Linked DNA regions of Oryctolagus cuniculus. The protein of the gene in region 1 purifies or fractionates together with the protein of each later gene. This does not show direct contact. Links are inferred from orthologs where the notes say so. Each region holds a gene or a part of one and is shown in the gene's direction. Other genes may lie near its edges.

The links.
Region 2: the proteins of AKIRIN2 (region 1) and PSMA5 purify together in Homo sapiens (affinity purification with mass spectrometry; 3 studies listed by BioGRID and IntAct, with this or other methods). This does not show direct contact. The link is inferred for Oryctolagus cuniculus from reciprocal best matches to the Homo sapiens genes AKIRIN2 and PSMA5.
Region 3: the proteins of AKIRIN2 (region 1) and IPO9 purify together in Homo sapiens (affinity purification with mass spectrometry; 3 studies listed by BioGRID and IntAct, counting the BioPlex papers as one, with this or other methods). This does not show direct contact. The link is inferred for Oryctolagus cuniculus from reciprocal best matches to the Homo sapiens genes AKIRIN2 and IPO9.

The regions. Positions count from the first base shown.
Region 1 is NC_091436.1:84,875,105-84,878,752, forward strand, and holds part of AKIRIN2 (akirin-2), read left to right. Parts: intron 1-2,977; coding exon 2,978-3,121; intron 3,122-3,648. UniProt on the Homo sapiens protein: Molecular adapter that acts as a bridge between a variety of multiprotein complexes, and which is involved in embryonic development, immunity, myogenesis and brain development.
Region 2 is NC_091438.1:61,003,588-61,008,035, forward strand, and holds the start of PSMA5 (proteasome subunit alpha type-5), read left to right. Parts: upstream 1-1,611; 5' UTR 1,612-1,752; coding exon 1,753-1,781; intron 1,782-4,448. UniProt on the Homo sapiens protein: Component of the 20S core proteasome complex involved in the proteolytic degradation of most intracellular proteins. This complex plays numerous essential roles within the cell by associating with different regulatory particles.
Region 3 is NC_091444.1:17,766,764-17,770,411, forward strand, and holds part of IPO9 (importin-9), read left to right. Parts: intron 1-144; coding exon 145-203; intron 204-1,506; coding exon 1,507-1,658; intron 1,659-2,359; coding exon 2,360-2,458; intron 2,459-3,328; coding exon 3,329-3,435; intron 3,436-3,648. UniProt on the Homo sapiens protein: Nuclear transport receptor that mediates nuclear import of proteins, such as histones, proteasome and actin. Serves as receptor for nuclear localization signals (NLS) in cargo substrates.

The DNA.
Region 1 (3,648 bases):
CAAAGATGTGGAGCAGCTGGAACTCTTAATACAATATATTGTTGGTAGGAATACAAAATGATGAGGTCACTCTGAGTTTTTTAAAAATTAAAACCACCCTTCAGTTGCCGTGTGATTGGGCAGTTTAGTCCCACTCTGGGGTATTTATCCAAGGGAAATGAAACTCTCTACCCAAAAACTTGTACCTGAATATTTGTGGGAAACAGTCGAAAGGTTGATACTGTGAGAATGGATGGATGAAATGTCTGGGGGGGGGGGGGACAAAACACAATGATATACTAATCAATTAAAAGGGAGGAGTTACTAATTCATAGAACATAATATGAATCTCAAGAACATTTTGCTGAGTGAAAGAATTTCAGACACCATTCCATACTCTTAATTGGTCTATTTACCTGAAATTCTAGAAAAGGCAAAATTGCACAAAGTACAGTTGTCCTTTGTGGGGAATGGGTTCCAGCCCTCCTTCCTGTACCAAGATTCACAGATATCTCAGTCCCTTAAAGAAAAAGGTCTAATGCTTGCATATAAGCAATGCACATACAATATATAAAATATACTATGTAAATAGTTATTAAATTTTATTCTTTAATTAATGATGACCACTGCCATAAATACTTACGCCTGTTTAGTACAGATGCACTTTCTTCCCTGAATATTTTTGATCTGTGGTTGGTTGAAGTCCAGATGGTGGAGCCAGTGGGTTTTTAAGGGAGACTACATTAATAGGACATGAGTGTTGGTGGATGGAGGTGTTTGGTCATAGTGGTAAATTAACTGCAAAAGAACATGGGAGACTTTTTGGGAATGATAAAAAGTTCTTTATCATGATTCTGATGGTTCTGAGACTGCATGTATGCAGTCAGAATTCACTGCATCACACTTTTAAATTAGTGGATTTTGTCATTTGTAGATTATATCTTGTTTGGAGGTTTATAAAACTAAATTCCATTTAGAATATAGTTACTGATATAAAGATATTTGTGATTGCCCTGGTTGATACAGGATGTATTAGTTTTATTGCATACCTCTGAATATTAGGAACCCATTTATATCAAACACTAGCAGCCTCTTTAAATTGCAAACTAGTCAAATAAATGGAAAAATTAAAAATGACTAACATTAAACAAATGTTAATATTCTGAAAAAAGCTTAATACATGAAAGTACTCTAAACACAACCATCCTGTAAGTCATTCCAATTTGTGGTTTTTATACAAAACAGGTTTGTTTACATAACAAAAAGTATTTAAATGGGACATACTTTGCGATTTTTTTTTTTTTCAGTTATAATGAAGTTGGCAGAATTAAAAATGTTCAAGGGACTGATTTATGTTCTTTTGGGAGTTTCTCAAAAGTGCTTAAGGTTTGTTTTCTGGGGATATAATATAAAGTGAGAAGAGAGTAAAAAATCTAACAAAACCAGTTTTAAATTTTAAAAAACCTTATCACACACAAGTCTTTAATCTTCAGTTGCATTTTCAGTTCTTTAATGCATCACTGTTGAAAAATTTATACTCTTACACAGTAATGTACTGTCTCATGCTGTTTTGGTCAGTGATGAGCATGTACAAGAGTAGATTCATAAGATCACAGTACCTTGTGACATCTTAAGTTATCTTAGTTTGTGTAAGCGCACTCTGTGATTGCACAACAAAACCGGCAAATGGTACATTTATCACAGCATGTCCCTGTGAGGCAGCATGCAACTGTACTTACGAATCTTACTGCTACTTTTTGTTTAATCTCACTTTCCATTGGGATTAGTAAACTTCTTGGATTAATTTTCAGATAGATAACCTATTAATTTGGGAGTTATTGAGGTAGTGAGAAAAGTCTGGACAGGAAGGAACCTTAGGGATTTGGGGGGAGAGACCTAATGTTAACTATTTTATTTTATTCTTTTTTTTTTTTTTTTTTTTTTTTTTTTTTTTTTTTTTTGGCAGGCAGAGTGGATAGTGAGAGAGAGAGACAGAGAGAAAGGTCTTCCTTTGCTGTTGGTTCACCCTCCAATGGCTGCCACGGCTGGCACACTGCGGCCGGCGCACCGTGCTGATCCAAAGGCAGGAGCCAGGTGCTTCTCCTGGTCTCCCAAGGGGTGCAGGGCCCAAGCACTTGGGCCATCCTCCACTGCCTTCCCGGGCCACAGCAGACAGCTGGCTTGGAAGAGAGGCAACCGGGAAAGAATCCGGTGCCCCGACTGGGCTAGAACCCAGTGTGCCGGCGCTGCTATGTGGAGGATTAACCTATTGAGCTGCGGCGCCAGCCATGTTAACTATTTTAAATTGGAAAATCTTTCTAAATGAATCATACCAGGTCTGAAGGATATGTTGGATATAATTTTATCCCCCGTTGCAACGGCTGTGTTTAAGCATAATTGCACTGTGGTGTAGCGGTTATTTTTTTGAGAGGACCTGCTCTGTGCCACTTCGCATGAGGGTTTCCCAAAAACCCAGGATTCAGAATGCTTTGCTATTAATGCTGTAATATTCTTGGGTTCTGCTGAACTTAATATTAATGGCTGGTAGCCATTTTTATCTTCTGTCTTTGTTCTTTTGACCTGTCACATCTTGCTGGTGTGTTTGAATATACATACTCTTCCCTTTCTGATTACTTATGGGTTTAGAAAAAAGCCTGTTAGTGTGTTAGTTCTATGTATGATAAATAAACAAACTTCGGGGCTAGGAATCTTGAGTAAATAGGTAGATGTTTGATGTCAGATTCCCTGTTTGAGTGAAAAACTTACAGAAATGATACTGAATAGTTGAATTCAGGTGGTATATATGTGACATTTCTGGTAAAGTGCTCCTATTTATGCTGATATGATTTCTTCCAGAATGTTGGTTTTTATGAATGTTACTTGAAGAGAATTTACGGGGAAGATTGGTTCTACTAAATAACTATTGGAAAGTCTACCTCTTTTTTAACTTGAAAGTTTTTATCTTAAAAGCCCAATTTTAACTTTTTTTTTTTTTTAGAACAAATCTTGTACAACATAAAACAGGAGTATAAACGCATGCAGAAGAGAAGACATTTAGAAACTAATTTCCAACAGACAGATCCATGTTGTAGTTCTGATGCACAACCACATGCATTTCTTCTCAGTGGACCAGGTTCACCAGGTAATAATTCTGTTATGGGAAAAGCTTAATCCTAAATGCCATTAGTTACTTAAGCTCCTATTTTTCTCCCTACAATCTCCCCTCCCCTGCTCTCATTTGAGAGGCAGAGTTAGAAAGAAGTCTTGAATCTCTGGTTCATTCCCCAAATGGCCGCAAAGGTCAGAGCTAGGCTGATCTGAAGCCAGGAGCCAAGAGCTGCTTTTGGGTCTCCCAATGGGTGCAGACTCCCAAGCATCTGGGTTATCTTCCACCAGCAGGGAGCTGGATCAGAAGTGGAAAAGCCGGGATGCTGGCACGCAGGTGGAGGCCTGAGCTACTACGCCACAACCCTTTCCCATTTTTTTTAAAATTCTAAAAGTAATGCATGTTATCTTAAAAAAAATGCTATAAAATGAATAGTCACCACTTGAATTCCCAGTAACCAAAGAAACATAAATAATATTCCCAAAGTGAATGTAGTGTAGCAACCATGATCTGGGTGCCTGAGGGTTTTTTTTTTTTTTTTTTTTTTTTTTTTTTTTTTTTAA
Region 2 (4,448 bases), on another chromosome or scaffold:
TTTCAGGCATAACTGCCCCATAAATGACTTCCTCCTTGATTTACTAAGGTATAACTGACAAAAATTGTTTATAGTTATGGTATAAATGCAAGTTCTAAAAAATTAGACATCTTAAAATTTCAATATATTTATTTGAGGCAGAGAGAGAGAGAGCGAGCTCTCATCCATTGGCTTATTCCCCAAATGCCTGCAATGAATGGGGCTGGGCCAGGCCAAAGCTAGGAGCCAGGATCCAAGCACATGAGTCACCACCTGCTGCCTGCCAGGCTACATTAGCAGGAAGCTGTAATGGAAGCAGAGTCGGACATGGGGGTATCACAGCCTGTGTCTCAAGCACTGGGCCAAATGCCCAACCTCTCCTCCTGATTTTCTTTTTTTAATTTTTAAAATTTATTTGAAAGAAATATGCTCTTTCATATCTCATATACTGAGAGATCTTCCATATGCTGGCTCATTCCCCAGATGGCTGCAACCAGGAACCAGAAGCTTCTTCCAAGTCTCCCACATGGGCGATAGGCTCCCAGACACTTGGGTCATTTTTCGCTTTCTCCAAGCCATTAGCAGGGGGTTGGATCGGAAGTGGAGCAGCCGGGACACAACAGCTAAGCCAGCGCCAGCCCCCGCTTCCTCCGTGATGTTTTGCCCCAGATACACTTTGTGCATGATTAGATCAATTACTGTATCCATCATCTCACATACTTGTGTGTGTGAGAGAGAACGTTTGAGATCTACTTTCTTGGCAACTTTCAAATATACATTATTCACTAGCGTCACCCTGCTGTATAATAGATCTCCAACTTTCCTTTTTTCGATCCTCTCAACACCTTATCCCCGGCCGTGATTTCTTAACTTCCTGTCTTAGACAAGTTACTCAGAATGTTTCTATGAAGCTACGAAGTTGCTCTTCCGCCCTTGGGAAAGGGAGGCAAGAAGCACCGAAAAGGAAAGCACGCATTCTTCATTAAGAACAGAAAAACGGCGAACGATCTGAATCTGGGATCCTGAGCTCATCAGTCTGAAATCTGGACTGGGGGCGGGCGCAGGGAGGGTCCAACAACGAGCTGGCAAAATTACCTCAACTTGCGGAAACTGGAAGACTTTCTTACTGGTTAAAACCCACCAACTTTTCTCAATAAATGAGCCAGGCTGGACTCGCCCACGGCGCCGGCTCAGACCCACCGTAGTGCACCCATCACCGCTCAAAATTTGCAGCCCTCGCTAGAGCACCGGATAGACCGCGCCAGACCTCAAGCAACCCGGAACTCCGCAGAGACGGGCGAGCGCAGCGCGTGTTGGAAACCGGACCAACGTCTCCGGGCGGAGATTAAGCAAGCCGGCGAGAGACCTATCAAATCAAGGTTCAGATAGCACGGCCTTCGGTACAATCCCTCCTAGCTGCCCATCCTGGCGCCGGCTCACACCGCTAAATGGAGAACTCCCCACACACGCCTCAAACTCCCGGCGCCCCTAGCAACCGCCGGCAGTTTAAAGCGGAAGAATGCTCTTTGTCCCGCCTCCGTTAGGCTGAGCGAGGCCTGGCGGGAGGCGCGTTGGCCCAATCGCCTCGACGGGAACTATGGCCAGCCAATAGAAAGCAAGCCTAGGAGGGCGGGCTAAAGAGGTCGCGGGCGCACGCGCAGTTGGAAGCAGGTTCCTGGGTTAAGTGGCGGTGTGGGTGAGTTGGATCCCGGTGAAGTCCCGTGGTTCCTCCGGTTTCCCACATCGCCGCTGCCGCCTAGTTCTGCCCTCACCATGTTCCTCACCCGGTCTGAGTACGACAGGTCCGTGCGGTGGGGGGAAGCTGGGACGGGGTTATGGGTGGGCAGGCCCGGGGCCCGGCCGCGGCCTGGGTTCTGCCGTGTCATGGGGCGCCCCGGGAACCCGGGTCTGGCCGGGCGGGATCTCTTGTCCTCCCCTTGCGCTCGCGGTTACTGCTCAAGCTAGATTTGGGTAAATCGGCCCCACTTGTCCTGCCGCTGAGTCACTGCTCGGTCGTATCTTGGTGCGGAAGTGAGAAGCCCCGGTCTGTGTTAGGAAAGGAAGCCGGGGTCCGGGACTCCGACCTTTAATCCGGAGGCGGGGGTCACCCCCTTACCCATACACCTTTTAGCGTTGAGTACGACTGCTCCCCCCCCCCCTTTTTATAAGAAAAAATGTGAAAAAGCACACGGAGACTACCCAGTGGATTTGTAGTATGGTTCACAGGGGTGTATAGTTCTTGGAAAAGCTTGAAGGCAGACTTAGCTATGCCCAGTGTGGAGTCTGCTTTTATAGGAACCAGAGTTTGGAGTGATCTCGAGAGATTTCGCATACTGATTCCACTTGGCTGAGAGTTTTCTGACTTTTAAAATAAAAGTTTAAAGCAGGTTAGTGTTAGTGTTAATATTGAAGTATTAGGGTTGAAGGCCGAATGTAGTGTTTTTAAAAGTCAAAGATTTTGAGGTTATATTTATTAAAAAACGAAGCTTTCAGAGGCTGCATATGCTAATATTAAGTTTTACATATTTATGCTGTAGACATTTTTGCTTTCATTTTCTATTCTGATCAGTATATTCTGATCATAGCTGTTAAGTTTTTTTTTAATAGTTAGGAAATACAGATTTTTTTTGTAGGAACTGACTTAAGAAGCCTCCTTTCTTGTCAAGTATGTTAACCCAAAGTTTCATCACCTGGAACTAGCATTTTTCCATCCTTTTCCTATCTCCTGGAAGATGTATGTGAAGTTTTAAAAATGATTGTCATTCCCATTGTCATATAAAGTGACTTTGTTAGTGTTCAGCTTCTAGGGCATCGAGGAGAACCATCTTTAGGTGATAATTTTGAGTTAGGTTGTGTATGATGGAAATTATCCTTAACAGGAAAATTTTACTAAATTGTGTGAATGTTTACTTAGCATGTGTATTGATTGTTTTGTGTTACTCATTTTTTTGTCTTAACAAGAATGATTGAAGTACAGTCTATCCTTATCCACTTAGTGTGTGTATTTGGGTGCTTCCTACGGTGAACAAAATCAAGATCCTTGTTCCCATATAGGAGGCATCTCTTAAAGAACTGTTCACAAAAATAATTATAGTTTCAGCTAGAAATGTATTAACATTTTCAGAGGATTCAAATCAACCCCGTGGAAGTTTGGATGACAGAGTGCAGTCTGTACTAAGGGATCATGGAAAACTTCATGAAGGAGCTGAAATTTTTAGTGGATCTTGAGGGAGTAGTATCTCAATAAATACAGTGAGTAATTTTGAATTCTGAAAATAATAGGAGCAAAGGAGGGACAGTGGAAAAAATAATGCATGTCTGAGAAAAGTCCAGTTTGATCAGCACATATACTTGGAGTAGCAGTAGATATGGGAAAAACAGAATGGTGTTAGATACTAGATGATTTTCAGTGTGAGGTGAAGGAGTTTTGGTCTCATTCTATGGGCAACTATAAGCTGTTAATTTTTATCTTAAGTTTCATGGTCATTATTGAGCTTTATGGAGATTAGTTGGATTAGAGGAGTGAGTCAGTGCTGGTTTGGGGCTATTACACTAGTTAGGTGAAAGGTAATGAGGGCATCGCAAATGAAAGGAAGGGCGATCTGTGGCTGTGGAAGAGGAATATGCCTTGGCATATGGTTGGATAGGAAAGAAGGGAAGGAACGTGTCAAATAATTCAGAACTTTCTAGCCTGGAAACTGAGAGATTAGAGGTTTTTTTTTTTTTTTAATTTATTTTATTTGAAAGTCAGAGTTAGAGAAGGAGAGGCAGAGAGAGAGTCTTCCATCCGCTGGTTCACTCCCCAATTGGCTGCAATGGTCAGAGCTGTGCCAATCCAAAGCCAGGAGCCTGGAGCTTCTTCTATGTCTCCCAAGGGGTGCAGGGGCCAAGGACTTGGGCCATCATCTTCTGCTTTCACAGGCCATGGTGGAGAGCTGGATCGGAAGTGGAGCAGCCAGGACTCGAACTGGTGCTCCTATGGGATGCTGGCACAGCAGGTGGCAGCTTTACCTGCTACACCACAGCGCCAGCCCCAAGACTAGAGGTATTTTGAAATAAAAACTAGCCGGCGCCGCGGCTCACTAGGCTAATCCTCCGCCTAGCGGCGCCGGCACACCGGGTTCTAGTCCCGGTCGGGGCGCCGGATTCTGTCCCGGTTGCCCCTCTTCCAGGCCAGCCCTCTGCTGTGGCCAGGGAGTGCAGTGGAGGATGGCCCAGGTGCTTGGGCCCTGCACCCCATGGGAGACCAGGAAAAGCACCTGGCTCCTGGCTCCTGCCATCGGATCAGTGCGGTGCGCCGGCCACAGCGCGCCGGCCGCGGCGGCCATTGGAGGGTGAACCAACGGCAAAGGAAGACCTTTCTCTCTGTCTCTCTCTCTCACTGTCCACTCTGCCTGTCAAAAAAAAAAAAAAAAAAGAAATAAAAACTAAAGTAGGAATGGCGGGAGTTGAAGCAAATTTTTCAGGGT
Region 3 (3,648 bases), on another chromosome or scaffold:
CCCCCCCACCTCCTGTGTGTGGGCGTCGGCTTTGGGTCATGTGGTTCCACTTGATGTGTGGAATGTGATCGAAATGTGTACCATCCCCTTGTAGAGTGTGTATAAAGCAGATTCAAAATTCTGTTTCTTTACTCTTCATCATACTTATGTGAGGACAGAAGTAAATTATACAGAGGAAGTGGAAGATCCTGTGGATTCTGATGGTATGTAGTTTATCTGATCTTTACAGAAATATACCAGTTAGTGGGAAGAGAAATCTAGGAGATGCTTCACTCTTAAATGCGTTTTCTAATTGAGGTTCCTTTTGGTGTATTAGACGTGAGGAGATGAGACATGACCGTCTTCTGTCTATTCCTACAGGCATTTAAATAAATCACGTAAAATCATAGGATTCCTGAGTTGGAAATGATCTCTTAAAGGCCATTTATCCAGCTTTCTTCTGCTGTTTTGTCTAGTCTAATTTTGAAGTCCCAGATGATGTTAACTTTTCTGTTTGAATATTTTTAAGTATTGCAGATCAAGAATAGACATGCTAGAAGAAATATATTCAGTGTTTCTGGTTCTTTTACTTGGAAAACCAAAGAGTATTTGATATCCTCAAAGTTCCTTTTTCTTTTTCTTTTTCTTCTTCTTTTTTTTTTTTTTTTTTTTTTAAGATTTATTCAGACATTCATTTGAAAGGCAGAATGACAGAGAACAGGGGATCATCCATCTGCTGGTTCACTTCCTAAATACCCACTGCAGCCAGAGCTGTGCCAGGCTGAAGGCAGGATCCGGGAACTCCATCCTGGTCTTCCAGGAGGGTGGAAGGAATCCAAGTCCTTGGGCTGTCATGTGCTGCCTCCTAGGCACTTTAGTAGGAAGCTGGATTGGAAGTGTAGTAGCCAGGACTGAAATAGCCCTCCAGTATGGGATGTGTACATCCCAGGTAGCAACTTAACCCACTGTGCCACAACACAGCCCTTAAAGTTCAGCCCTTCTTCCAGTCCAATCCCTTAGGACTAATAATTTTCAGGCACTTTAAATATTCACTAATAATGTAGTTATTTATTTATTTTTGGACAGGCAGAGTGGATAGTGAGAGAGAGAGACAGAGAGAAAGGTCTTCCTTTTGCCGTTGGTTCACCCTCCAATGGCCGCCACGGCTGGCGTGCTGCAGCCGGCGCTCCACACTGATCCAAAGGCAGGAGCCAGGTGCTTCTCCTGGTCTCCCATGCAGGTGCAGGGCCCAAGCACTTGGGCCATCCTCCACTGCCTTCCCGGGCCACAGCAGAGAGCTGGCCTGGAAGAGGGGCAACTGGGAAAGAATCTGGCGCCCCGACCGGGACTAGAACCCGGTGTGCCGGCGCCACTAGGTGGAGGATTAGCCTATTGAGCTGCGGCACCGGCCAGTGTAGTTTATTTCTAGCGTACATTCTTATCATTAGTTCCTTCTCTTGCGTGCATTAGTTCCTTCTCCTGCGTGCATTCTTATCATTAGTTCCTTCTCTTGCGTATTTTCTATAGGTGAAGTCCTGGGCTTTGAAAATCTCGTCTTTAGCATATTTGAATTTGTCCACGCCCTACTAGAAAATAGCAAATTCAAAAGCACTGTCAAGAAGGCCTTGCCTGAGTTGATATACTATATAATCCTGTACATGCAAATCACTGAGGAGCAGGTAAGTAATATTTGGGAGACAGTCATCAGCTTGTATTTGGAAGGTGCAACTTGATCAATATGAAACCTTGGTCAAATGAACAGCAAGTCTAAAAATAAACATGAGAATAGCTCTGTGTGGAGTTCTAGGAAGCCTTTGACATCATTTTATTGCCAGTTCCCTGGGTATTATAGCTTTATCAACTCCCAAATTGGGTAATTGGGCTTCCAGAACACTTCTATTAGGAAGATCTTTTCTGGCCTCTTACCAAAGACCTTGGTATCCCTGGGAACCTATTCCCTCCCCAGATGTAGTGAAATGTAGAGAACAGATCGTTAGCCTGTTGGTCATTCAAACTGGGAAAGAACTCTCAAGATAAGATGGTGCCCCGAATAAGAGAGCACAGGAGCTGGCATGATTTCACAGTAAATATCCCATCACATTTCCTGTATCCTGAATAGATTCAGAAAATCTATCAAAGAATAACAGCTGATTGATGGTAGCAGAGAACAAGTAACCGCCAAATTCTGAGGTAGAGTCTGCCAGGGAGAAATAGCCAGTTCCCCCTTCCCTTTGTAGAAGACTTGTTTCTCTACAATACAAAGTAAGGCTTTTGAGGATACAGTTTGTTTGGAATCAAAGGTTGAAGTCTTCTTTATCTGTAAGGGAGCACATTAACCAGATTAGCAGCCTCACAAGACCTACCTTGATCATGTCTTCAGATTAAAGTGTGGACAGCCAACCCGCAGCAGTTTGTAGAAGACGAAGATGATGATACCTTCTCCTATACCGTTAGAATTGCTGCTCAGGACCTGTTGCTGGTAAGAGGGTTACCTTGCTACTCCAGCCAGATCATCCTAATCAGCCACTTGAGGGTTTGCTGTTCTTCCTAGACGTTTAACCCAAGTGTTTGTTGCAGTGTTTGTTGGGTGGCTTTATCTCAGACTATTTTGGGGATACAAGAGAGCTTCTCAAATGAAATTTGAGACTCAGAGATTCCACAATCCTTGTCACTGATTCTGATTTACCAGTTGGTATTGAATGTAAGACTTTTGCAGAGGATAAAGTACTCCAATGAGTAAGAAAGTTGAATCAGTAACATTTCCATTTAATCATTCTTCACCAACAGTCTATAGCACACACCCAAAGTTTGCAAAATTAAAAAAAAAAAAAATACTGAACATCAGATATCTGCTCAGGTTTCCTTGGCATCTCCCGGAGTTCTCTCTAGGCTGACACGCTGCGGAGAAATTGCCACTTGCTCCCTTGGTAGGAGCAGTGTTGGTGACTCACCTCTCATCGTTATCTAGTATTTCTAGGTACCAATGAAAGATTGCGCTCGTTCTCGATTAGTGGATTAGCCTTGTTTTTCCATAATTGGGCTTCAAGGGAGTAAACACCTGGACCATTGTCCAAAGCCGAGTCCATCGTTTTTAAGTATGATCTGCTGCTTACAGCTAAAAGGAGCAACTGGCTCCTCTTAACACTGCTTAGGCGCTCAAAATATAGATATTACTTCTATTCCATTAGAGTTCTGAGCCAGTGGGGCACAGTTTTAAAACCTAATCAGTTTTGTGTGTGTATGTGACATACTTTGAACTGTTTACTTCCAGCAATTCTCATTAAAGCAGTTTGCAACTGAAATGCATTTAATGTATAAAATAGGCTTATTAGCCTTTCTTTATCCCTAGGCCGTGGCCACAGATTTCCAGAATGAGAGTGCAGCAGCCCTGGCGGCTGCAGCCACTCGACATTTACAGGAAGCTGAGCAAACCAAAAGCAGTGGCACTGAGCACTGGTAAGAATGAGAACAGATGCCTAACCTGGGGACCTGTTTGGGGCATCTTTTTTTTTTTTTTTTTTTTTTTTTTTGAAAGGCAGAGTTAGAGAGAGGCAGAGGCACACAGAGAGAGGTCTTCCATCCACTGGTTCACTCCCCAAATGGCTGCAACAGCCAGAGCTGAGCCAGTCCAAAGCCAGGAGCTTCTTCCAGGTCTCCCACACAAGTGCA